3 linked regions of the Notamacropus eugenii genome follow. The protein of the gene in region 1 binds, or shares a complex with, the protein of each later gene. Links are inferred from orthologs where the notes say so. Each region holds a gene or a part of one and is shown in the gene's direction. Other genes may lie near its edges.

Region 1 (7,161 bases):
ACCAACAATAGGGTAGAAGTTGGGACTGCTGGGAAGTACACCAGGCTGGTGGTATAGCTGTCAGGGACCAGGAGGTTCAAGCTTGACCGCAAGGCTGCCAAGCAGAGGTGCCAACAGTGAAAAGCTCTACAAAGAGTAGTCAGAGAGTCATTCTCATGGGTGCCCAGGTTGGAAAGGACATACAAACCCCTGTTAAAAGCAGCCGAGACAGGAGTGCAGGAGCTCCCGAATGCCACAGCCAGGCTGGTGGCAAACAGAAAAAAAAAAAAAAGCCAGGACTTCGGCAGCTTCTGGAGAAAGACACTCTCTGACTTTCATTTCCCATTTACAATGCCTGAATTGGGAGCATCGACCAAGCTCCCAAATTAGCTTTTTAAATAGAAGCTGAGAGTAAAGGAAAGGCGGCCGAGTCATGGGGGAAAAGCAACTGAAAATCCCGGCCAGGCCAGAGGCAAAGGAGAGAAAAGGTGAGGACAGGCAGCCAAAGAGAGACTGGGAGACTCTGGGAAAATGAGGAAAAGGGAGAGCCCTAACTAGCTGCACAAGCCTAAGAAGCATCGGGTGGTGTTCAAGGAGCTGTGGCCCTGAGTGAACGGACCTTGGGCTCCATAACCTAACTCTGCCTCTCATCAGAGGTATGAACCTTAGGCAAATCATTCAACTGCTCCAGCCCTTTGGAAAATAAAACAGTTGGACTAGATGATCTCTAAGAATTTTACAGCTGAAGAGAATCTATGATTGCCTCACATTCCAAGAAGCCTTGTCCTAGACATTTTAATCTCATGTTCTCTAGGCCACTTGATTATAAGAGAAAATAAAAGTGTTTTTTGTTGTTTCTGTTGTCCCGTCATTTTGGAGGAAAGGAAAAGGAAAAAAAATATTATTTTTTTTTCTGAATCATGAGGCTCTGAGGTATGTGAAGAGTCATCTAATTCCTTCCCCTAAACTCTCTCTGAGAGAGGCAGCTTCATATTGTGGGTAGGAAGATGTGAGTCTCACATGTGATACATAGTAGTTGTGTGGACAAGTGACTTAGCCCTTCAGTGTTCTGGGCACCTCTCTAAGACTAATAGTCGCAGAATAATCACAAAACTACATTTGTAGATGGAGTTCCTTACTCCAGTGAAATCACAGGTTAGCTCTAAAAGTATCCCTAAGAGATGGCAGTCAATTACTTAAGGTTTCTTTTTAGAAGGAAGTTTTTTCCTACTTTCTCCTTCCCTTCTACCTACCTCCCCATTAGTGAAGATACCCACCTCAAGAACAATTCCATAAGAGGTGCGTACATACATATGTATATGTACATATGTATATATGTATGCATATATGCATATGCATACATATGTGTGTAGGCACATATTACATACATACAGATAGATAGATGAATAGATAATGAACTCCAGTTCAAAGCATAGGAACCTACACATGGAAATACTATAAAGTCTCTCAAGATTTAGATCAAGGGTGGGTAGGTGGGTGGAGTGGAAAGGAAACAGGTATTGGACTCAAGAGGCCTGAATTTGATTTTCACTTAATTCTAACTGTGTGGCTCTGAGTGGGTCAGCTTCTCTGAACTTTCTGTGGTCCCATTTGGAAAACTTGTATAAGCTACCTTCCGTAGCTAATGTGAAATGGACTTTGTAAGGCTTAAAGTGTTAAAGAAATGTGAATGATTTTTAATAGTAATAATAAAAAGAAGAATAAGAAAAGTCAGGGATTATACAACTAACTTGTAAATGTACTTGGAGACTGTACTGGAAGATGTCCTGTGAGCTCTGAGCCAGTTTATAAGGGTTAAGGAGCATCCTCCCAGAGGAGACGAAGTCCCTAGTTCAAACCACTTGCTAGAAAATTAGTTGTGCCCAGGAGGGATTTGGGGGGTGGGGAAAGGAAGAGAAGGGAAAGGAAGAGGAAAACTGCAAAGGATCTCCCTGAATCCTTCCCGTATCTACCAGGGAGTGGCACTGTTGTTAATCATTATTACGGTATGCAAATCATTATGCTAATCAAACACAGCACTGGGACTCCTGGCAACCTCACCCTCTGGTCCACACCCACCTGCTATATGGTGCTTTTCGTCTCCCATCCTCACCCATGCCCTGCTGCCTGGTTGGTGTCACTACAATAATCTAAGAGTGGCAGTATAGGGAGAAAGGGGAATTCCGGGAAGGGGTATTATTCATAAAACCTCGGGCAAATTTCCAGGCTGCCTGGTTGCCACACAAAGTTCCCAGGTACGCAGGTCATTGTTACGAATTCTATTCCATTTCCAAAGTGGGAGGAAAATATGTAAGTTTCCCAATACATCACCCAGTCAAATGTCCAGTTACCCCGAAGACTCTCATTTCTAAAGGGATCAGATGAAAATTCTGGCTCCTCCTCAAGCTAGACTTCATGATCCTGTGGGTTCTTTTTCCAAACCTTGGGTTCACACTGAACTTCTGAGGACGTATCAATATCCCTTTCCATCCCTAACAGACACACCCGCTCTCACACACATTCAACCTAGAGAAGCCATTTCTCTTTTTTATCTTCTTGGGGAGAACCAGAGAAGTGACAGGTTCTCCCAAACCCTGGGTTCTGAGCACCCCAGGGACCTATCAAGATTGCCGGACCCCAGAGACCAGTGAGTGGTCGGAGAATCTCTTCCAGGACGCTCCATCCTCCCCTGCAGGGGGAGTCTGGAGTTGGCCAGTCTCGTATAGCCTCTCCACGTTCTCCACTCACCTCTCAACATCAGGGCGTGGGTTTGAGAGCCCAAGGTATGGGGCAGAGGGACAGTAGGTAAGCGTCCGACTCTGGGGATGGGGAGCTTGGTGCAAGCACCAGGAATAGTGATGAGGTTGTTCAGTCTCTGAAGCCCGGACTTCGGACCCTCGAGTCTGGGACATGCAAAGGGGGATTCGAAACAGGCTCACACGGACCATACTGTGCTCTCTCAAAACGGACCATTAGCGGAGCAGCCATGCCCTTTAAGAAAAGAGGCGTCCCTTCACCCTGAAAGAGCAAAGGTATAAGCGTTGTATAGTGGGGCATAGAGAGTGCCAATACTGGGGCTTCTCCGAGGGCTGCTGGGTGCGGTGCTTTGATTCGATGAACAAGTCCTGGAGCTTGAAGAAGTGTACTCCCAGAGGAGCTCGAAGGTGACGCCTCCCCAGGTGGCTGGGGTCAAAACACAGGCAGGTGATGGTGGGGGCGCTCCCGTGTGGACACAGTCAGCTCTATACAAACATTCATTTGCACAGCTTCACCATCACCTACATGCCCACATAGCCTCAACCACGAGAGCACACGGATACCCGTGCTCTCTGACACACAGCATACTCCGGATATTCCCGGCTTCACACACCCATGCTGGCACTTTGGCTTGGCCCCTCCCCCCACCCGGTGCCCACACGGACACACGCACTCACACTCGTGGCTCCACACTCCGCTCGATACAGTCACACAGTCGGATTCCTCCACTCACCCAGGGAGACGCACAAGGAAAGAAAGCTAAGGCTAAGACTGAGCCTCGCTTCTCGCTCTCGCTCTCTCTCCCCCACATTCGCTCGTGCGCGCACCACACCCGCCCATACACAGACAGACAGACAGAGACACAGACACAGACACAGACACAGACACAGACACACACACACACACACACACACACACACACACACACACACACACACACACACACACACACACACACACACACACACACACACACTCGCACAGGCATACCGAGTCACTCCCCCTCGCACACCCTCGCCCCCGGGCCTCCTCCCGGCCGCTAGGCTAGCGATCCTCCGCCTCTCTCCATTCGCGGGCGGCTACGGCAGCGCCCAGCTCTCCGGCCTGTGGCCGGGGCAGCTCTTCCTGCCCGGACCCGCCGGGCACCAAGGAGCCTGCCTGCGGTCTTCGTCTCCAGATTCATCCCCCCCACCCACGGCTCCTGCTCCCCGCTTCCCTCCTCCCCCTGGCCCCGCCCCGCGCCCCCGCGGCCTCCCCCCTAGGGAGAGGGACCTATCCATCTAGCCGGTGGCCCGCTGGTCTCGGCTTCCCGCGACGCCGGGATTGGCGGGGGCAGCGAGCGAAGGAGCAAGCGAGGCGGGCAGCCGGGGAGGGAGGGAGGGAGGGAAGGAAGGAAAGAAGGAGGAAGGGGGGCGCGCTGCCGAGCCCGGAGCGGAGAGGCGGCGGGGGAGGAGGAGGGACGGAGTGCCTGGCGGACGCAAGGAGAGAGCGAGCGAGCGGACTTCACCTCGCCTAGAAGCACCGCGAGCTACCGTTCCACGCTCACGGCTCCGAGCCGCTGGGGCTGCCTCCGCCTCGGCCAGACCCCGGCTCCGGGCACCGGGCTGCAGCTTCCCCGGGAGCCCTGGGCGCGGGAGGGGCCGGGGGCTTTCTGCGCCCAAGGTAAGAGGAGAGGGCGAGGAATTGGGGTTGGGGGTGGGGTAAAAGGGACGAGGTGGGGGAGGGAAGGGGTCCGCAGGTGTTGCTCCCACGCCTGTTGCTCCAGCTGCCCACTCGAGTCCCTCCCCCACGCCCTGGGGGCTGGGCACTAGGGCTGGGGAGTGCGGGGGGCGGGGCGGGGGGCGCTGTGCTCCGCGCTCCGCTCCCGACCCCCAGGTTCCGGAGGAAGGGTAGGGAGCAGACTCTGGGGCGCCCTTCCCTTGCGGATAGCCTGGAGGTCCAGCATTCTGCTTAGATGTTCACTTGCTGCTTATCCCTTAAAGCTGTGCTCTCATTTGGGGGCCAGGAACCTCTATCGTGGCCCCTGTCCCTTAAGGACCCAGAGGGACTGATCGCTCGGAAAGCTCAGGTTGGGGAGAGGTGTCAGATGGGATAGATTCTGTACTCCTGCTTGCTGAGGGAGGGGAGCAAGGGAAGAAAGGGAGAGTGAATGAATCAGGGCGCTTGGTAAAGTTCTCCAGCCCGGAGTGAGCCTAGCACTCTATGCTCCTAGAAGTCAGATGGGCTTGGAACAGCTGTTTTTGTCCCAGTCCTGCTCCGTCCTTCCGCTCTCAAAGGGGTTCTATTAAAATCAGAGGTTGATTCTTCGAGACTTGGGCAGATGGAGCCAAAGGGTATATTTTCTAAGGTATTTACAGAGGACTGGGTCAGAGGATAAGAGAAGTCATCTGGACTAGTTGAGTTGATTTACTTTCCCTGATGCTGAACTTGAGCCCAGTATAAAAGCCTCCTCCTGTTATTGGGGTCGGGACAGAAATACAAGCAACAGGCTGAAGAATCTACTGGTAAAGGAAAATCTCCATTTTATTGCTTTAGAGAATGGATGGTTTCTCCTCACCCTCTTGCATGCTTAAAGAACGTAGAAGTGTCCTGAGGAAACAAATATATGTTATATAGCAAACAGTATACATTTTGCGTGTTATGTATGTACACATCTTTTGTGCCCCTGCACCTAAAGTTTCCATGTGCATGATTTTTGTAATCATAAATGTTTCTGCATATGTATGCAAATAGGGTGATCCTACCTTCCCATGGGCATATTTACATATTGTAGATATGTTGGCTCAAATATATTTCTTGATGTGTTTATCTCTGGTTGTAGGCTACTTGTGGGATAAAATGCATGTAACAAGGGGGAGAGAGAAGTCATTTTTCCCTTTTGCTGTGGAAGAGGAAGGAAAAACACTTAGGAGAGTGCTCTGGCTGGCCTAGGAGCGGCACTGTAGGAGAAACGAGTCTCTCTGGATCAGATGGTCTGAGCCTTTTGGGGTCAAGGGAATGGTTCACCTAGTCAAGTTCAAGAATTGCTTTCTGGGGTCAACTAGGGCACTTTCCAATTTATTATCCTTTCCCTTCCCTCCTTGCCTTAAATTCCACCCCTTTAATGATGGTCGGAGGGAAGGGAAGAAAGGAATAAGCATGAAATAGTGCCTACTACGTGCTGGACACAGTGCTAAGAGCTTTACGAATATTATCTCATGGGGGGCGGGGCAGATTACAAATCAGGAATCCGTGCAGGCAGAAACTGACTTCTTTGCTCTCTGACTTCCCTTTGGATGGACTCTTACCCAGGTGACTGGCATTTTAGGCTTTAACCCAGTTTGGAAGTTAAAGCCTTAAGTAAATCTAAACCCCAGGGCGATGCTCTCCCACCCCGAAGAGAAGCTTGGCAATTGTGCTGGCAACTTTTTTTTATAGCAGGGAGAAATCTATTCCCCTTCTCTTGTGCTTTTTATCTTTGTCGTTTCAGGGGGTGTCTCTCTTCCCCAACCCCCACTTCTCCCCCCCTCTTGCTGCCAAACTCTGCTGTCAAAAACAAAAATAGCTTCAGGTTTTCCATTTAGGAAGAGTACACGTCCTAGTAAAAACCTGACATTCAAGGCGTATGCAGCGCCATTGGCTGGAAACGGGGCCGGGATCCTTTGCCTGTTGTAGGAATGCATACTAGGGTTGGCTGTGGGTGAGCTGTCGGTGCCTAGCAAGGGGTGACATACTATAGAATGCTCAAAGAGTGAAATCAGTTCTTACCTGTGAGGTTATACTGAAGGTAGGGCTCCTATGTGGACCAAGTACAGGTTAAATGGAGAAGACGCCACACCCCACCCCCAAAGTCAGACATTTAATCAATGGAGTAATCTGCCCCTTTTTGCATTTTTGTGGAGACTGGAGGGAAGAGATTCTGGAGGTGAGGGAGAGAGCAATAATTGTCTGGATCCCCTGGAAATTGCTAAATTGCTTATTTGACCTGTTTGAGAAAGTAACCCAGGCTCACTGAATAGGGAAAGTTAGCCCTGAGGATTTAAAGACATGGAAGTGTTTTATTTGGATTTTCCTACCTCCATGACCCCTTACTTTCTAATACAAGAAAACATTTTGTAAAATGCCTTCAATCTAGATAAGGTCAACATGACTTACACATAAAGACTGATACCATAAGCAAATTAAGAGAGCATAGAATAATTTATCTGTCAGATTTATGGATAAGGGAAGAATTTAGGACCAAAGAAGACATAGAGAGCATTACAAAATATAAAATAGATAAGTTTGATTATATAAAATTAGAAATTTTTTTTCAAAAGTAAAACCAATGCAACCAAAATTATAAGGAAAGCCAAAAACTGGTAAAAATCTGGCAACAATAAGGCCTCTGATAAAGGTCTCATTTCTCAAATTTATAGAGAACAGAGTCAAATTTATAAAAAATAC
Region 2 (7,569 bases), on another chromosome or scaffold:
GAGCCAAAAATAAAGCAACCTCAGTTATCTCCATGGTGTAGGACATCCAGAATTCAAGAAAAGGTTTTAAAAAACCCAAATGCACAAACTGATGCTCACTGACTCTAAGCCTATTCAACAGCCCTCTTCTACGTCCCAAGCTACCTGAAGAGAGGCTACACTAGCATACCCAAGGATCCAACACAGGCTTACAACAAAGCCCACCACCACACCCTAGACCCCTCTCCTTTCTTCCAGTACTACAGAGACCCTAGCTGCAGGATGCAGAAGTTTCCCCTGGTGGAGACAAATGTCTAACATGGCTACAGCCCTTCAGGAACAAATGTCTGATGGGAACCACAACCCCATAGCACCAGTGTTGCAAAGCTCTGAACTGCCATTCCTGGGTAGACAGCCTCATATAAGCAATGCAGTAGCCCTCTGAACTTCTAGCGAAGGGCCAGAAAACTAAGAAACAGAGAGAGTGAGACAAGCCACCAGGACAGCACACCATGTGTGGTAGACTATGCAGCATTCCACTAAGCCTGAGGGAAAGAGCACAATGTACAAGTGGGGTCAATTCTGACCACCCAAAAGTCACCCAGGGCAGAGTCCTAGGCTGAAGAATCATGAGTTGCCTAGCATGGGAGAAGGCTGAGAGATCTTTTAAAACCCAGCCTCCAAAGGAAACCATCATCAGAGGGGGCAGAGTCAGAGGAGAATAGGGGAATAAGACTGAAATATCCAGAGAAAACAGGAAGATGAAAACTCAAGACCTTGACCATAAGCAGTTAAATCAACAGGGAAAACAGTAACAACAGAAGGAATTATTTCCTCCAGATCTAGTAAACAAGTTCAAGAATCCATGAATAAATACTGCAAAACAGAAGAAAATGATCAAACATTTGATAAGCCAGAGGACCCTGTGGAATGGCAGGAGAGCATGAAATCACAATATGCTGTTAATGAATGGTTCAAAAGAGAAATCAGAGCAGAATTTATGACCTGCAAAATAAAATAAAATGGATGGAATAGTAAAACTGGTATCTGCCATGGCAAGTCTCACTTGAAAAACAAAAGAGAGAACAACAGATTGGGAATGTAAATATACAGAAGTGAAGGACAATTTAATCTGAGAGAAGCAAAACCAATACCTTCATAAGAAAATGTGTGAATTATGCATGTAAAACTTAAAAAACTATGTAAATGCTAGCTCTTATTACTCAAATGTCCTATGTCATGCACAGGACAGCCAGTGGTCCATGAGTTGTCAGCATTCCCCTAATCAAAGGTAGACACAGTACTTTATCTGGTTTTGTTTAACCATAAAAGTGAAGGCTTTGGATAGAAACAAACTAAATTCACCGTGCAAACTTGCAAGGAATGCCCCACACTTTTGGGTGATGCTGCTCTGTCCTCCAATGTCTAGAGATTCCATCTGGCTGTTTTTGTGTCTGACAAGGAAAGAATTAATATTCTTTCAGTCTGGATAAGTCAAGCATAACTTCCATTCATTGTCTAGTCCCCACCCACCCACCTCCATTCCCCCAGTGTCCATGAATGCAAGGTGATCTCTGTATCCTGTGGTTTGGTAAAGATTGTCATTATTCAGCTGCCTAACTGTCAAACTGTAAACCATCTGTGCAGCCTGGGAAAAGCGTAGTGAGGATACTGCCAATGTCTAGAAAGGCAATACTGGCCAAATTCAGACAGTGGCACAATGTGTCATTTACAAGAAAGATGTAGGAGATCTGTGAGGAAGAGTAGAATTTTTAGTGATTACTGAATTGATCATTATAGTAACAGCTAACATTAATATAGAGCTTTAAGGCTTGTAAAGTGCATTATATATATTATCTCATTTGAACCTTGCAAAAAGGTGGGTGTACTATTATTATCCTTCATTAGAGATGAGGTTAAGCTATTTATTGAGCTATTTACACATTTAGTAAATATCTGAGGCAAGGACTGAAGCAAGGTCTCTGTAACTCCTAGCTCAACACTCTCTCCACTGCTCCACTTAGCTCATTTTAATGAGTAAACAGAGTAAACAAAGACACTACAACGTTCTTGGCACCAAGCTTGTTATTTTGACAGATGTTCATTTTTTATTATTACCCTAAGTAATATATTATCACATTGCTTTTTAAGAATAGCCAGAAAGTTCTATTTGTATGAATACCTACCATAGTCTCCTGTACAAAACTGGAAACCCAATCATTGTCCCAAATAGAGGCTCTTGTTTTCCTTTTTTGTTTTATTTTTGTAAATTGAACCATCTTGAAATATTATTTGTTCTTCCACACATGTTGCTCATCAGAATAGGCATTAACCTTGAAATTTTAGTTGTTTCAGTCATGCCTGAGTCTTCGTGACCCCGTTTAGGGTTTTCTTAGCAGAGATACTTGGAGTGGTTTGCCATTTTCTTCTCCAACTCATTTTACAGGGTGAGGAAACTGAAGCAAACAGGATTAATTGTCTTGCCGGGGGTCATACAGCTATTAAGGGTCTGAGGCCAGATTTGAACTCACAAAGATGAGTCTTCCTGACTCCAAGCCCAATGCTTCCTTTTCCTAGGCTAATTTCAGAAATCTGGAATGTCTCTTTTAAGGAAAAATGGAAATATTATATCTCTAGGACAAGGATTCCAGCAGGTGCTTCAGTTTAGGGAGAGCATGTAGAACCCTGAGTTGAAGTGGAGACTCCATGCTAACCTCCTAGTCCAGGATGCCCTTGTTCTTGTGTGTGAGTTCTGACTTTCCATATTGCACATTTATTCCCAATTGATCTACACTACAACTCCCTGAGATGAGGAATCTGGAACTTCAGAAAGGTTAAGTGATTTTCCCAAGATCACAAAACTAGTTAGTTCAAGAGACAGAACTCGATATGGTCTTGGAGTCAGAGAACTCTGGGTTCAAATCTGAACTCTGTGACTTAATAACCTCGGAAAAAGCATTATACGTCTCTTGGCCTCAGTTTCTGTACCTGTAAAATGAGGGGGTTGGACCAAATAAATCTAAAATCTGATCATCCCATGAACTCATATCTTTTTTAATTCTGTGTAGTCCTCTATCCACTATGGCTTGTTGCTTCTCTGAGATGATTCAAATTGATTAGATATGTAGGCACAATAGACAGTTGGTGTGATTTGAGGGTCATCAGAAAAACCACTTGGCTCAAATTATTCTTCCATTAAGATATGTTAGGGGCTGAATTTCTACCATTAGGGATTCATTGCTTTTGGCTAAGCACTGGACTCTATAAGCATGTTCTTTTAAACTAAAAATATATCCAAAGAGAAAGATATTATCAATAGCACCTTGGCATGAAATCAATTAGCAGATTGATAGGAGGGACCTAAAATCATAATCAGATTTCTAAGGGACCTGAGAAATCACTTACTCTAAACCATTCCTTTAACAGTTGAGGAAACTGAGGCCAAGAGAGGTAACGCCCAGTGTTGCATTTCTAGTAGGTAACAGAGGTATGACTGGAACCCAAGTCTCCTGATACCTAGTTGAGTATCCTCCACAAGAGACCTGGGTCCTAAAATAGAACAAAGAATATGAAAAAGGAGGAAGATGACCGACTTTTTCACTTCACAATTTTACCCAGGGCTAGATCACTGTGCAAGGAGAATCCATCTTGCCTTTTCCCACAACTGGGACCATGCCTCCTCCAAGCCCCCAAGGAAAGGCCTACACCCTCATCATATAAAAATGTACCATTTTCCAACAGACCCCAGAGCTCAAATCCACTCTTCTGGCTTCCAGTTTTGAAAACTCAGACAATCCTTCAACCTCCTTCGTTAAACACTAACAGGCACCTAAAATTCACTTCATGACCTCCTGCTCACTCAGCCATTTCCAATAACGGAAATAATATTAATGCTGAACTATTCCAGCAGACAAACACCACAGCCGCTGCTCAGTCCACTTTTGGAGTAATCTGCCTTAGGATATGGTTTCCAGGAATGCACTGAATCATAAAGATAGAGGGACACTTCCACCTGGAAAATCTGCTCAGTAAATGTGTCACAAAGAGAGGTGGAACAAACAAGCGTGTCATGTTCTTTTTCAATGGGTTTTATCCTCCCAGCTCCCCAAAGACCAAGAGCAGGAAATCTTTGTGTTCTGACAACAAATATGATTTCTCTGAAAATGACCAAGAATGAGAAAATTGCTCTGAGTCCCAGATTAGAAATGGTTTGAAATATCTCGGGGTTTGGCAGTTATTTCTGAGGCTTGTTGAAAAACAAAAACCAAACTGCCCTGGAACTGCCCTGAGGAGAGAAAGGAAAGAAAAGGGGAAAAAAACAAACCAAAGATTACCACTAAATGCTGAGACTGCATGCTGGAAGGAAGGGGAGAGGGAGCTGGCAGAGTGAAAAGAGAGGAAGGAAGGGAGGGAGGGAGGAAGGGAGGGAGGGAAATAGGAAGAGAGGGAGTATGAGGAAAGAGAGGCAGGGAGGGAAAATGAGCCATTCAGTTATTGGACTGGTGGGCAGGGAGCTTTTGATCTGACTGTTCTGGAGCTTTAGATGTCTGCTGGTTATTTTGTTCTCGTGCCAGCGGGTATCTGTGAGCATGTGGAGTAAAGGGGACTCCGAGGGACTTCAGACATTAGGGATTGTGGTGGTGATATGCTCCTCTCTGAAACTTTTACACTACCTTGGCCTAATTGACTTGTCGGATGGTAAGCAGACTGATAAGTTTTCATTCTTTGTGAATGTGGTTTCAGATGTTGCTTGCTAGGAGTGTGTGTGTGTGTGTGTGTGTGTGTGTGTGTGTGTGTGTGTGTGTGTGTGTGTGTGTGTGTGTGTGTTGTGTGTGTGTGTGTGTGTGTGTGTGTGTGTGTGTGTGTTTTAAGTGCCCTGGGTATGGGGGACAGTCAGGTACTTCCTTTCCAGCACGCAGATGTATAGATCCCTATCTTTTTAATGCTTGTTAAATATGGATGGGAATTGGAGGGAGGTGAGACTGGCTATGTGTGAGATTAGAATACTACCATTCTCCTACAAGGAGGCAGGGAGCAGGGGAGCAGGGGGGCAGGGGTAGCAGAGTTCTATTTCACTCTCCCTGATATAGGTGTATTATATCTCTTCTGGTTATTTATTGGCTGTCATGCCCACTGAATGAGTCTATGATGAACAGTAACTTTTAGAGAATATATGTTTTCAGCTAACTTCTTGTTTTAAGACTGATGCCTTTTTTTAATCTTTTTTTCTTTGACTTCCAATATGATGCCCCTCCCTCCCCACTCACTTCCATTAATTTCTAATTCGAGCCTCCCATCCACTGAGATGATATATAGCCATAAATCCAGGGAAACAGGGTATTTAGAATTAGAAAAACTAGGGCAGTTGAGCTGCAAGACTTAATTAAGGGGCTGAGGGAATAAAAATCTTATTCAGCCACATTTTTTTTCCAGGTAAAGGGCAATTCATTGCAATGCAATCTTCTGGAAATACATTTTTGATGGTCAAAGTGTTTTAGACATCTAGAACGATTCCTATGTTAACGAGCTACACAGAGAAACAGCTCACCACAAGTTCACTACATGTGTAAAAAGAAGTGGATTTTTTTTCCCTGAGAATGACAGAATGATGTGAAATGTTCCCAGAAACACTTATTTGAATTACCAGAAAATACCCGGCCAAAGATAAAGAATGAGTTATCTAGGTTCGTATTAGCTAGCTACTGGTGGATTGAGGAAAGGAATAGATTCCATTGAACTATTACCCTATGGTTGGAAAGCTGAAGCACATATGGAAATTTTCCATAATAAACAAGCCTAACATGAAAAACTATTGTGAAGAATTATTCAATAAAGAGTCATAAGACAAAGATTCTAGGCCCCTCCTGCTTTGCCACTGACCAAGCTTTGTGATTGAGAACAAGTCACTCCTGGCTCTTCAGGCATTAACTTCCCAAAGGAGTAGTTAGATTAGGTGATCACTAATATCCTTTCCAATTTGCTTAAGTATATACATAGACAGATAGATATACATATGTGTATATATATATATATATATATATATCGATATAGATAGATGTATACCTTCCTTTCCCTCAGTTAGCTTTTGTGTGTGATTCAGTGCTCTACTACCACATGTTTCTGAAAGGGACCACAATTCAGAACTTACTCTGGATGTCTTTACCCCTCTCCAGGGATAACTTTCCAACTTGTTCAGAGAAATTACTCACAAAAGAAGAGCCTGGGGATTTTGCCGGGGTGGGGGTGGGGAGGTCATCTGGAACTCATTTTCATATTAGGTGTTTCCACCTTCATTCCCCAGAGGTAGAATTTAGGGCTTTCTAAGAACACAGTTAACTCAATTACTCCTGTACAGTTTCAGCCATGTTATTTTCCCAGCCAAAGCAAATCAGGGATGTTAGTGAGACAAGGTGATTGTACATTATACTTTAACTTGACAACACAATCATGTTTTCTTTTGGTTTTTTTATCCGGTTGGGAACCCAATACCATAAAACCAATCTAGACAGCTTTCCCCTCCCCCTCGACATTGTATTTGTAACATACCATACTGCTAAGTGGGCGGCTAGGTGGCACCATAATGCACAGAGGCTGGACCTGAAGTCTAGAAGACTCATCTTCCTAAATTCAAATCTGACCTCAAATACTTACTAGCTATATGACCTTGGGCAAATTATTTAATCCTGTTTGCCTCAGTTTCCTCATCTGTAAAATGAACTGGAGAAGGAAATGGCAAACCACTCCAGTATCTCTGCCAAGAAAATCCCAATGAGGTCCCAAAAAGTAAGACACAATTGGAAAAAACAACTGAACATACTTACTGCTAGGGGATGCTGTGGATAGAGTATTGGACCCGGGGTCAGGAAAATCCAAATTTAAATTCAGTCTCAGATATTCACTAGCTCTATGACCCTGGACAAGTCACTTAAATTCTATTTGCCTCAGTTTCCTCAACTGTAAAATGGGGATAATAACTGTACCTACCTTGCAGGGTTGTGGTGAGAATCAAATAAGATAAATCTTACAAAGCACTTAGCATAGTACCTAACACAATTCGATGCTCTATAAATGCTAGGTATTATTATTATTATAACATGTACTGAGACTCATGGATATCCTTTTACTATGTGCTTCCTAATATCATTTTTAACTGGTATACCTACTATATGGAGCTCCTCCCTTCACAGAGGTCTGCACTCTGCCTCTAGTGTATATCTGGGACCTATTTGGGCCTAGTTTAGCTCTGAAGGTCACTAGTATGGCACTGGAGGACAACAAGTCATCCTTTTGATATCCCTGAGCTTGCTTGGTTCTTCTGGAAAAACTAAATTGCTTGCCTAGACTTCTATGGTATATAGAGTGTATCTATAAGAAAAAGTCAGCATCTGCATCCAACCTAAAGTTGCAGAAACTCAATTTCTTGGTTTTAAAGCACATGTTCCATCCTCAGGCAATATAACCTTTCATTTTGGCTGTCAAGCACACCATTATAACAGCTGGAGGGGGAACATCTGGAGAGTTGGTTGGAGGTTTGACTTTTCTTCTTGATGTCTTGGCATGCCAGAGGCACAGACGTTACTGTCAGGCGTC
Region 3 (7,264 bases), on another chromosome or scaffold:
ATAAGACAAATTCAGTTATGTATATAAATATGTATGCAATTCTGTGGCAGGTTTATCCATGTACATATTCTTATATGTTTACTTTATGTCTATATTTGTGTGTTCATGCATCTATCTCAGAAGCTAGGTTGAGGTAATCTCAATGAGTTTAGGGCAAAACTGATGAAGGTATGAAAATGGCTATGACCATGAGCTTTATGAGGGAATACAAACATGAGCCATCACAAAAAGGGATTGTAGTGGAGACGGTTAGGGGTAGAAGGAACAAGCTGTACCTGCTCTCTGCTCCTGGGACCCCATCACATTTTTTGGTCTATATTGGGGTTTCCCCTTCAGGTCCCATAGGACCAGGCTGGTGTCAGGTCTCCCAAGAAAAGTAGAGGAGAATTCAGGGTTCTAGGTGCCTATTGTTTTACCCCAGGCCCTGCTCTCCTACTGTTTCTAGCCTGGGCCTTGGACAAATTGGGGAAGATAGAAGAGGACTTAATTACCACCTTATTAATAATTTATTTTTCCCAATTAATTAACTATCCCATTAGAGGGTCATCCTCTCCACCCTGTAAAAATGGAATAACATAACAAGGGCCAGCAAGGGTTTAAATATTTTTGGTGAGAGGACCCACTCAACATATTCAAGGGTGATCTTGGACTAGTTGCTTCCATTCTTTGGACTTGTTTTCTCTGAAAATGGAAACAACAATCCTTAACTTTTGTTGTAGGGCTAGCAGGATATAGCTGATGGGGCCCACTTTAAGAAGTAAAATAGAAAGTTCATGGTTGGAAAGGGTAACTGAGAGGGTAAGAATGAAGGCAAAGCTGTAAATGCGAAGAATGGAATAGAAATTGATGGGCTTTTCCCAGAACTGTCGCTGTCCACAGTGCTGAAATATGTGATCTAGGACAAGAAGACGGGCTCTGAGTTTTCTATAAAAATTACAGAAAGGTTTTGTTGTTTTGGGCAGATAGAAGTCTGTTCTCCAGGACTAGGCCTGTCTTAGTATTCACTGTGGAGGAGGTCTCTCTTCCAGGACTAGGTGCTGGGGAGACAAACCTGAGGCAGAGATACTTTCTTTGTCCCCATCTGAAGGTGCAGGGAAGGGAGGAGACTTTCTGTACCCTCCTGGATTTGACTGGAGACTAGGCTGGGGTAAGGGCAGCAGAATCTGTTCCTATTCTGGACTTGGGCCTGAGAGGATTGGTTTTCTGTCCCCATCTGTGATTGGAAGTGAAAGTCTCTTAGTCTCTATTTAGGTCTTGGGGTGGGGGTAGGGGCAGTGGAAATCTTTCTGTCCTAGGACTGAGTCCTTGAGGAGAGGCTCCCTGTTCCTCCTGCCCTGTCCTGGTACTGGATGCCTTTCTGTTCCCTTGTTGATTGGGGGTTAGAGAGGGAAGAAAAAAGAGGTGTTGCTCCTTCTGTCCCAGATCTGTGCGTGTGTGTGTGTGTGTGTGTGTGTGTGTGTGTGTTCCAGGTTCACTGGAGTTGTCTTTCTATCTTACTATCCCAGGTCTGTGTGTGTGTGTGTGTGTGTGTGTATGTGTGTATGTGTGTTTTCCAGGTACCCTGGAGTTGTCTTTCTATCCTACTGAAGATCTTTCTGTCTTTCTATTCTACTGTCCCAGGTCTCTGTGCCTTTGTCTATATCTATATCTGTGTATGTGTTCAACGTTTCCTGGAGTTGTCTTTTTGTACTATTGTCCCAGATCTGTGTGTTTGTGTGGGTTCTTAACATTTTGGTTGTTGTTGTTGTGAGCCTCTTTGGCAATCTGGTGAAACCTGTGGACTCCTCAGAATGATTTGTTTTTCTATCCTACTGTCCCAGGTATCTATTCGTGTGTGTGTTTGTGTTTGAGGTTCTCTGGAATTGTCTTTCATTGCTTCTGTCCTAGGTCTCTGTCCTTGTCTATGTCTGTGTGTGTATTCAAAGTTTCCTGGAGTTGTCTTTCTATACTATTGTCCCAGATGTGTGTGTGTGTGTGTGTGTGTGTATGTGTGTGTGTATTCAAAGTTCCCTGGAGTTGTCTTTCTGGCCTATTGTCCTAGCTCTTTGTGTTTGTCTATGTGTTTCTGTGTGTGTTCCAGGTTTCCTGGAGTTGTCTTTCTATCCTATTGTCCCAGGTCAGTGTGTGTGTGTGTGTGTGTGTGTGTGTGTGTGTGTGTTTAAAGTTTCCTGAAATTGTCTTTCTGTACTATCGTCCCAGGTCTGTGTGTTTGTGTGTCTGTGTGTGTTCAAGGTTCTCTGGAGTTGTCTTTCTGTACTATTGTTCCAGATCTGTGTGTGTGTGTGTTTGTCCAAGGTTTCCTGGAGTTGTCTTTTCATCCTACTGTCCCAGGTCTTTATATGTTTGTCTATCTGACTGTCTGAGGTTCCTCGGAGTTATCTTTCCAGCCTACTGTTCCAGGTGTGTGTGTGTGTGTGTGTGTGTGTGTGTGTGTGTGTGTGTGTATGAGAGAGAGAGAGAGAGAGAGAGAGAGAGAGAGAGAGAGTTCAAAGCTCCCTGGAGTTGTCTTTCTATTCTCTTGTCCCAGGTCTCTGTGTATTTGTCTGTGTGTGTATGTATGTATTTTTCAGGTTCACCGGAGTTGTCTTTCTACTGTCCCAGGTCTTTGTGTTTGTCTATGTGTGTCTGTGTGTGTTCCAAGTTTCCTGGAGTTGCCTTTCTATCCTTCTGTCCCAGGTGTGTGTGTATGTGTGCATGTGTGTGTGTGTTTGAGGAGGATGGGTTGAGGTTTGGTATTGTGCCAGGTCTCTGTGTCTTTGTCTGTGTCTATGTCTGTGTGTGTGTTCAAGGTTTCCTGAAATTGTCTTTCTGTACTGTTGTCCCAGATCTATGTATTTGTCTACGTTTGTTTGTGTATTTCCAAGGGTCCCTCTAGTTGTCCTTCTGTCCTACTGTCCCAGGTCTCTGTATGTTTGTGTGTGTGTTTGTGTGTGTGTTTGAGGTTCCTTAGATTTGTCTTTCTTTTCTATTGTTCTAGGTGTCTGTGTATTTGTCTATGGGTGTGTGTTTGTGTGTCAGCGGGTGTGTCTTTTCGAGGTTCCCCTAGATTTGTCTTTCTGTCCTATCGTCCCAGATCTGTACCCTCTCCAGGAATTGTCTCTTCGTCCCTGCCTTGAGTCCTGGGAAGATTCTCTCTCCCCCGTGGTAAGAAGTCTTTGTCCTGCCTGGGTCTTCATGTTTCTCTGTTCCTGCCTGGGATCCTTGAGAAAGAAACTTTTATTCAACCTGCTTGGGGAGGAGAGAAGGGGCAGGGGTCGTGGGGAGGGAGCGATGAAAGATCATGCTTCCTACAGACAGGGGCCAAGGTGCTCTTGCCAGTAGTGATTACACGCGTTCCAAGGGATGGGGCGCCCTCGTGTGGCAGACGGGCTGCGCGCGGGACAGGAAAAGACCAGAGGAGCCTCGGATATTAAAGGGAGTCAAAGCGGATCAGAGCCTGGGGTCCTGAGTGCGAATCACTCATGTCAGATCTCTGCACTGCCGGCGTTACCCAGAATCTTGGAGTGGGTCGGTGTGGTGGGACTGCTACAGGGACCCGAGGACTTAGTTTTGAAGTGTTGTGGGTTTGGCGGGGAGAAGGGAGTGGGCTTGGAGTGAGCAAGGGTAGAGACGGCAGAGGGGAGCTCTGAGGTGACAGAGAAACCTTAGAATGAGGGAGGAGACCCTTGGAAGACACAAGAAGCTTAAGGAGGAGACAGAAATCAGAAGACTGAGGGAGGCAGAGAAAGAAAGGGATTCAGAGAAAAACAGACGAGAGACAGGGTACGAAAATCAGAGAGGTGGACACAGGCACAGTCAAATCACCTGTCACCTCCCCCTCACCGCGCTTTTGTTGTTTCTAATGACAACCATGCCCCCCAGGCCTGACCTCCTAACCTCAAAATATCTAGGGGGTCGGAAACCCGGGAAATAGAGGTGGAGGAGCGGAAGAAAGGAAAGCTCTTCCCACTTCCCACCCTCACCCTGTCTCCCCTACTCCAACCCGCAGCCATCTCCTTCCATATACTCCCACTGAGGAAATAATCAGAGACCCGACATTTTTGAGAAACTTTTCCCCAAGTATTGGGGTGGGGGATGGGAGACTATGTCAGGAGAGAGCTCCGCCTTCCCCAAAGACCTGCCCTCCCCCCCACTGAAGCCAATGATCCCTCTTCCCGACAGCCAGTTCTTTCTTCTCCCAGGAGGGCTCAGAGGCCAGAGCCACCCACTTTTGTGGGGGGCCAGTGGCTAAGGGATGGGGTGTGTCGGGGACAGCAACAACAGCATGAGCTGGTGCCCGGTCAGCTGCCGGAGCCCCCTGGGACATGCTGCCCGATCCCTATTCCAGTTTGTGACCGGGACACTGGCGCCAGGTTCGAGGGAGGAAGGGAGAGGCCACTGCTGGATTTGAAAGACCAGAATTAAGGAGTAAAGGTGGGGGGTTGGGACCGTAGGACCCCTGGCAAAGGTGCCAGGACTCAGGGCATCCAGCATCTAGGGCTTAGAGTCTCAACTGGTGAATATCTGACTGGGAGGGTACAAGAGGTGGGGCTGGAAACACATCATCTGGGATGGGAAGACAGCCTCAGGGTTGGTGAATTTTATAGGTTTGTGTGGCCTTGGGAGTTTGCCGGAGCTGTGTAACTCTGAATTTATATAGGATTGTATGGGTCGGATTGGATTGCTTAGTACAGGCATTGTACTGCAGTATGTGGGAAGTTGTATAGCATTCTTTCAATATGTGTGTCAGATTTGTTAGGGTTGGGGAAGGGGATGTTTTCTGTGTCATTGACGTGAGGGCTGTATAGCTCTGGAGTTTTGTGGCATTGTGTAGCACCAAAGTTAAAGTTGTGTAAGTCTGGAATTATATAGCATTCATGAGGCTGTGTGGGTTGTACTGTCCTCCATTGTGTGGCTCTGGGATTGTGTTGGGTTATCACAATTATGGGACGTTTTGTTAAGTTTTGTACCACTGGGTTTATGCAGGGTTGTGAATGACATATGTAGAGTTGGGAGACTGAAGAGTTTCCATTTGTCCTAATCCATTATTTGGAAATACAAATTCTGAAATGTCTTGTTACGCCTCTCTTGTAAAGACTAGGGCAGTCCAGCCCCTAAAATGCTGGGGTTTATAGTTTCCAGGCTATATCAGAGCAGGAGGTTACCTGGGGTCAAAGTTCTCCTATCCTGGAGACCCTCTAAGAGCTGTTCTTGCCTTTACCTGGGGCTTCTGCTGCCTAGTGCTCCAACAGGGAGTTGAAGGAGTGCTTAGAGATCTCTTGGTGGCTCATTCTCCACCCCTTACTGGGACCTGTCAGCTGATGATGGATGGCAGAAGCCCTGCTTGGCTAACTCTCAATCACCAGGGCCGTGACTTCCCAAAATAGCCCCACCAATCTCGGAAGGTCATTAATAACCTAGTCTAGCAACTGGGATTTGAAGTGGCCTTACCCTGTCCTAGGAGGGAGGGACCAGAATTGGGAGGGGTGGGTGGAAAGAGGGAAGGCATAGAGCCTTTTGCAAAGATTCCAGGGCCTTGTTCAGGCTCCTACAGCCAGACTCCAAGGGAAGGCAAGGAGCTACAGCTAACTGGGAAAGTTCTTCTGGCAGCTGAAACTGGCCCTCCCTACTCGCTGATCACCTCCCACCTCCAGGACCTAGCAACAACCAATATCTCATCTAAGTGATGGAGGTGTTCCTCCAACTTGCCCCACTTAGCAAAAGTGACTTCTAAGTTCCCAACTTTGAGGTGTGTGGGATTAGATTAATGACAAAAACCCAGCTGGAGCCCAGAGTAGGAGATGGAGTACATGGGAGTAATAATATGTCATGTATCTAAGTGATTTAAGGTTTACAAAATACTTTCTTCACAACAAGCCTATGAGGTATGTAATGTTACCAACTTTTAAAAGTGAGGCTCAGAGAGGTTAGTGACATGCCAGAAGTTCCAGACTCATAGAGTTGGGAAATATAAGGGCCAGGAGTTGAATTTGGACCTTCTGAGTCTAAGTCATTATTCTTTCCATTACGCTATGATACTCGAGATTTCAGGAGAAAGGAAAGTAGAGGGTACCTCTCTACTCCCCCCCCCAATAAAAATTTTTACCTCATCCTTCTATCACTGATACCTACCATTATGGGTTGATTATTATCTTCCATTAAGTAGAGTTTAATGATGAATCATGGGATATTTAGGAAAGGAGTTGTGGGTGATAGAGGGAGAATAGCCTAAGGGTCCCTGGAACAGTAAGGGGCCCTGAAGATGTACTCTAAATAAGTCTCTCTGATGGTTGCTGAAAAGGATAATAATAACTGTCCTTTCTCCCAAGGTGCTTATAGTCTAGTAAGGGAGTTAAGACCTGTGCATCCATGATTTAGGAACCAGAAGAGAGGGACAATGTGTTCTGGAGGTTCAGAAGGAGAGGTCGCTGCTTGCTGAGGGGATGAGAGGAACTTCCTGAAGGAGAGGGAATTTGAGCTGTGTAACGAAAGCAGGTAGGATTTCAACAAACAGAGCCATTTCAGGCTAGGGAATATATCTTGAGCAAGGGCAATGAGAAGCTTGAGGTACATTTGAGGAAACGTATGCAATCCAATTTGTCTGTGATACGTAGTAGGAAATAGTAGGAGATAAAGCTAGAAAGATGAATTGGAGCCAGATTGTAAAGGGTTTTGAATTCTTATCTGAGGAGTTTATACTTTGTTCTATAGACTATAGAGTAATTGAAGGTCTTTAAGCAGGTAGGTAGGATTATTGGAGCTGAATTTTAAAGTTAATATTCCAGCAGCTGCATAGGATATATTAGAAAGGGGTAAGAATCTGAAAAGAAGGTAGAGGAGACTAAAGATACAGAACTAGAAATGGATTGATTGAACATAGGTGATGAGAAAAGGGGAATATGATTAGATATAGTCAGGCAGTAAACTAGCTTTTATTAAGTGCCTATTGTGTGCCAGGTACTGTATTAAGTACAGGAGATACAAAGAAAAGCAAAAGACAGTCCCCGCTGTCAAGGATCTCACAGTCTAATGGGGGAGATGTGCAAGCAACTATGTCCAAACAAGATATAGACCGAAGAAATTGGAGATAATTAATAAAAGGAAGGCACTGGCATTTAGGGTCATCAGGAAAGACTTTTTGTAGAAGGGATTTTAGCTGGGATTTGAAAGAAGCCAGGGAATCAAAGCGGCAGAGATGAGAAGGGAGAGTATTCTAGAGTGAAAATTCTCAGATTTTGGAGCCGGAGTATCTTGTACAAGAAATAGCAATGAAGCCAGTGTCAGA

Evidence for each region.
Region 2: the proteins of KCND3 (region 1) and KCNIP1 are in contact, whole or in part, in a crystal structure (PDB 2NZ0), measured with the Homo sapiens proteins. The link is inferred for Notamacropus eugenii from reciprocal best matches to the Homo sapiens genes KCND3 and KCNIP1. Residues at the interface, in NP_001365898.1 of Homo sapiens: Ala6, Ala7, Trp8, Leu9, Pro10, Phe11, Ala12, Arg13, Ala14, Ala15, Ala16, Ile17, Gly18, Trp19, Pro21, Val22, Pro26, Met27, Pro28, Leu29, Ala30, Pro31, Lys34, Lys36, Arg37, Asp39, Trp54; in NP_001030009.1 of Homo sapiens: Leu67, Arg69, Gly70, Phe71, Glu74, Val80, Phe85, Ile88, Tyr89, Phe92, Phe93, Tyr101, Leu105, Phe109, Phe122, Ala125, Leu126, Leu129, Leu130, Leu138, Trp140, Thr141, Leu144, Tyr145, Ile161, Val162, Ile165, Tyr166, Met168, Met169.
Region 3: the proteins of KCND3 (region 1) and KCNIP2 are in contact, whole or in part, in a cryo-EM structure (PDB 7W6S), measured with the Homo sapiens proteins. The link is inferred for Notamacropus eugenii from reciprocal best matches to the Homo sapiens genes KCND3 and KCNIP2. Residues at the interface, in NP_001365898.1 of Homo sapiens: Val5, Ala7, Trp8, Leu9, Phe11, Ala12, Arg13, Ala14, Ala15, Ala16, Ile17, Gly18, Trp19, Met20, Pro21, Val22, Ala23, Asn24, Cys25, Pro26, Met27, Pro28, Leu29, Ala30, Pro31, Asp33, Trp54, Arg60; in NP_775283.1 of Homo sapiens: Arg112, Gly113, Phe114, Asn116, Glu117, Cys118, Val123, Phe128, Ile131, Tyr132, Gln134, Phe135, Phe136, Tyr144, Leu148, Phe152, Phe165, Leu169, Ile172, Leu173, Arg180, Trp183, Ala184, Leu187, Tyr188, Met201, Met205, Ile208, Met211, His228.

What each region holds. Positions count from the first base shown.
Region 1 is NC_092873.1:290,858,520-290,865,680, reverse strand, and holds the start of KCND3 (A-type voltage-gated potassium channel KCND3), read left to right. Parts: upstream 1-4,148; 5' UTR 4,149-4,398; intron 4,399-5,240; exon of another isoform or gene 5,241-5,325; intron 5,326-7,161. UniProt on the Homo sapiens protein: Pore-forming (alpha) subunit of voltage-gated A-type potassium channels that mediates transmembrane potassium transport in excitable membranes, in brain and heart. In cardiomyocytes, may generate the transient outward potassium current I(To).
Region 2 is NC_092872.1:402,378,112-402,385,680, forward strand, and holds the start of KCNIP1 (A-type potassium channel modulatory protein KCNIP1), read left to right. Parts: upstream 1-4,484; 5' UTR 4,485-4,568; coding exon 4,569-4,677; intron 4,678-7,569. UniProt on the Homo sapiens protein: Regulatory subunit of Kv4/D (Shal)-type voltage-gated rapidly inactivating A-type potassium channels. Regulates channel density, inactivation kinetics and rate of recovery from inactivation in a calcium-dependent and isoform-specific manner.
Region 3 is NC_092872.1:179,987,651-179,994,914, reverse strand, and holds the start of KCNIP2 (A-type potassium channel modulatory protein KCNIP2), read left to right. Parts: upstream 1-4,163; 5' UTR 4,164-4,234; coding exon 4,235-4,352; intron 4,353-7,264. UniProt on the Homo sapiens protein: Regulatory subunit of Kv4/D (Shal)-type voltage-gated rapidly inactivating A-type potassium channels. Modulates channel density, inactivation kinetics and rate of recovery from inactivation in a calcium-dependent and isoform-specific manner.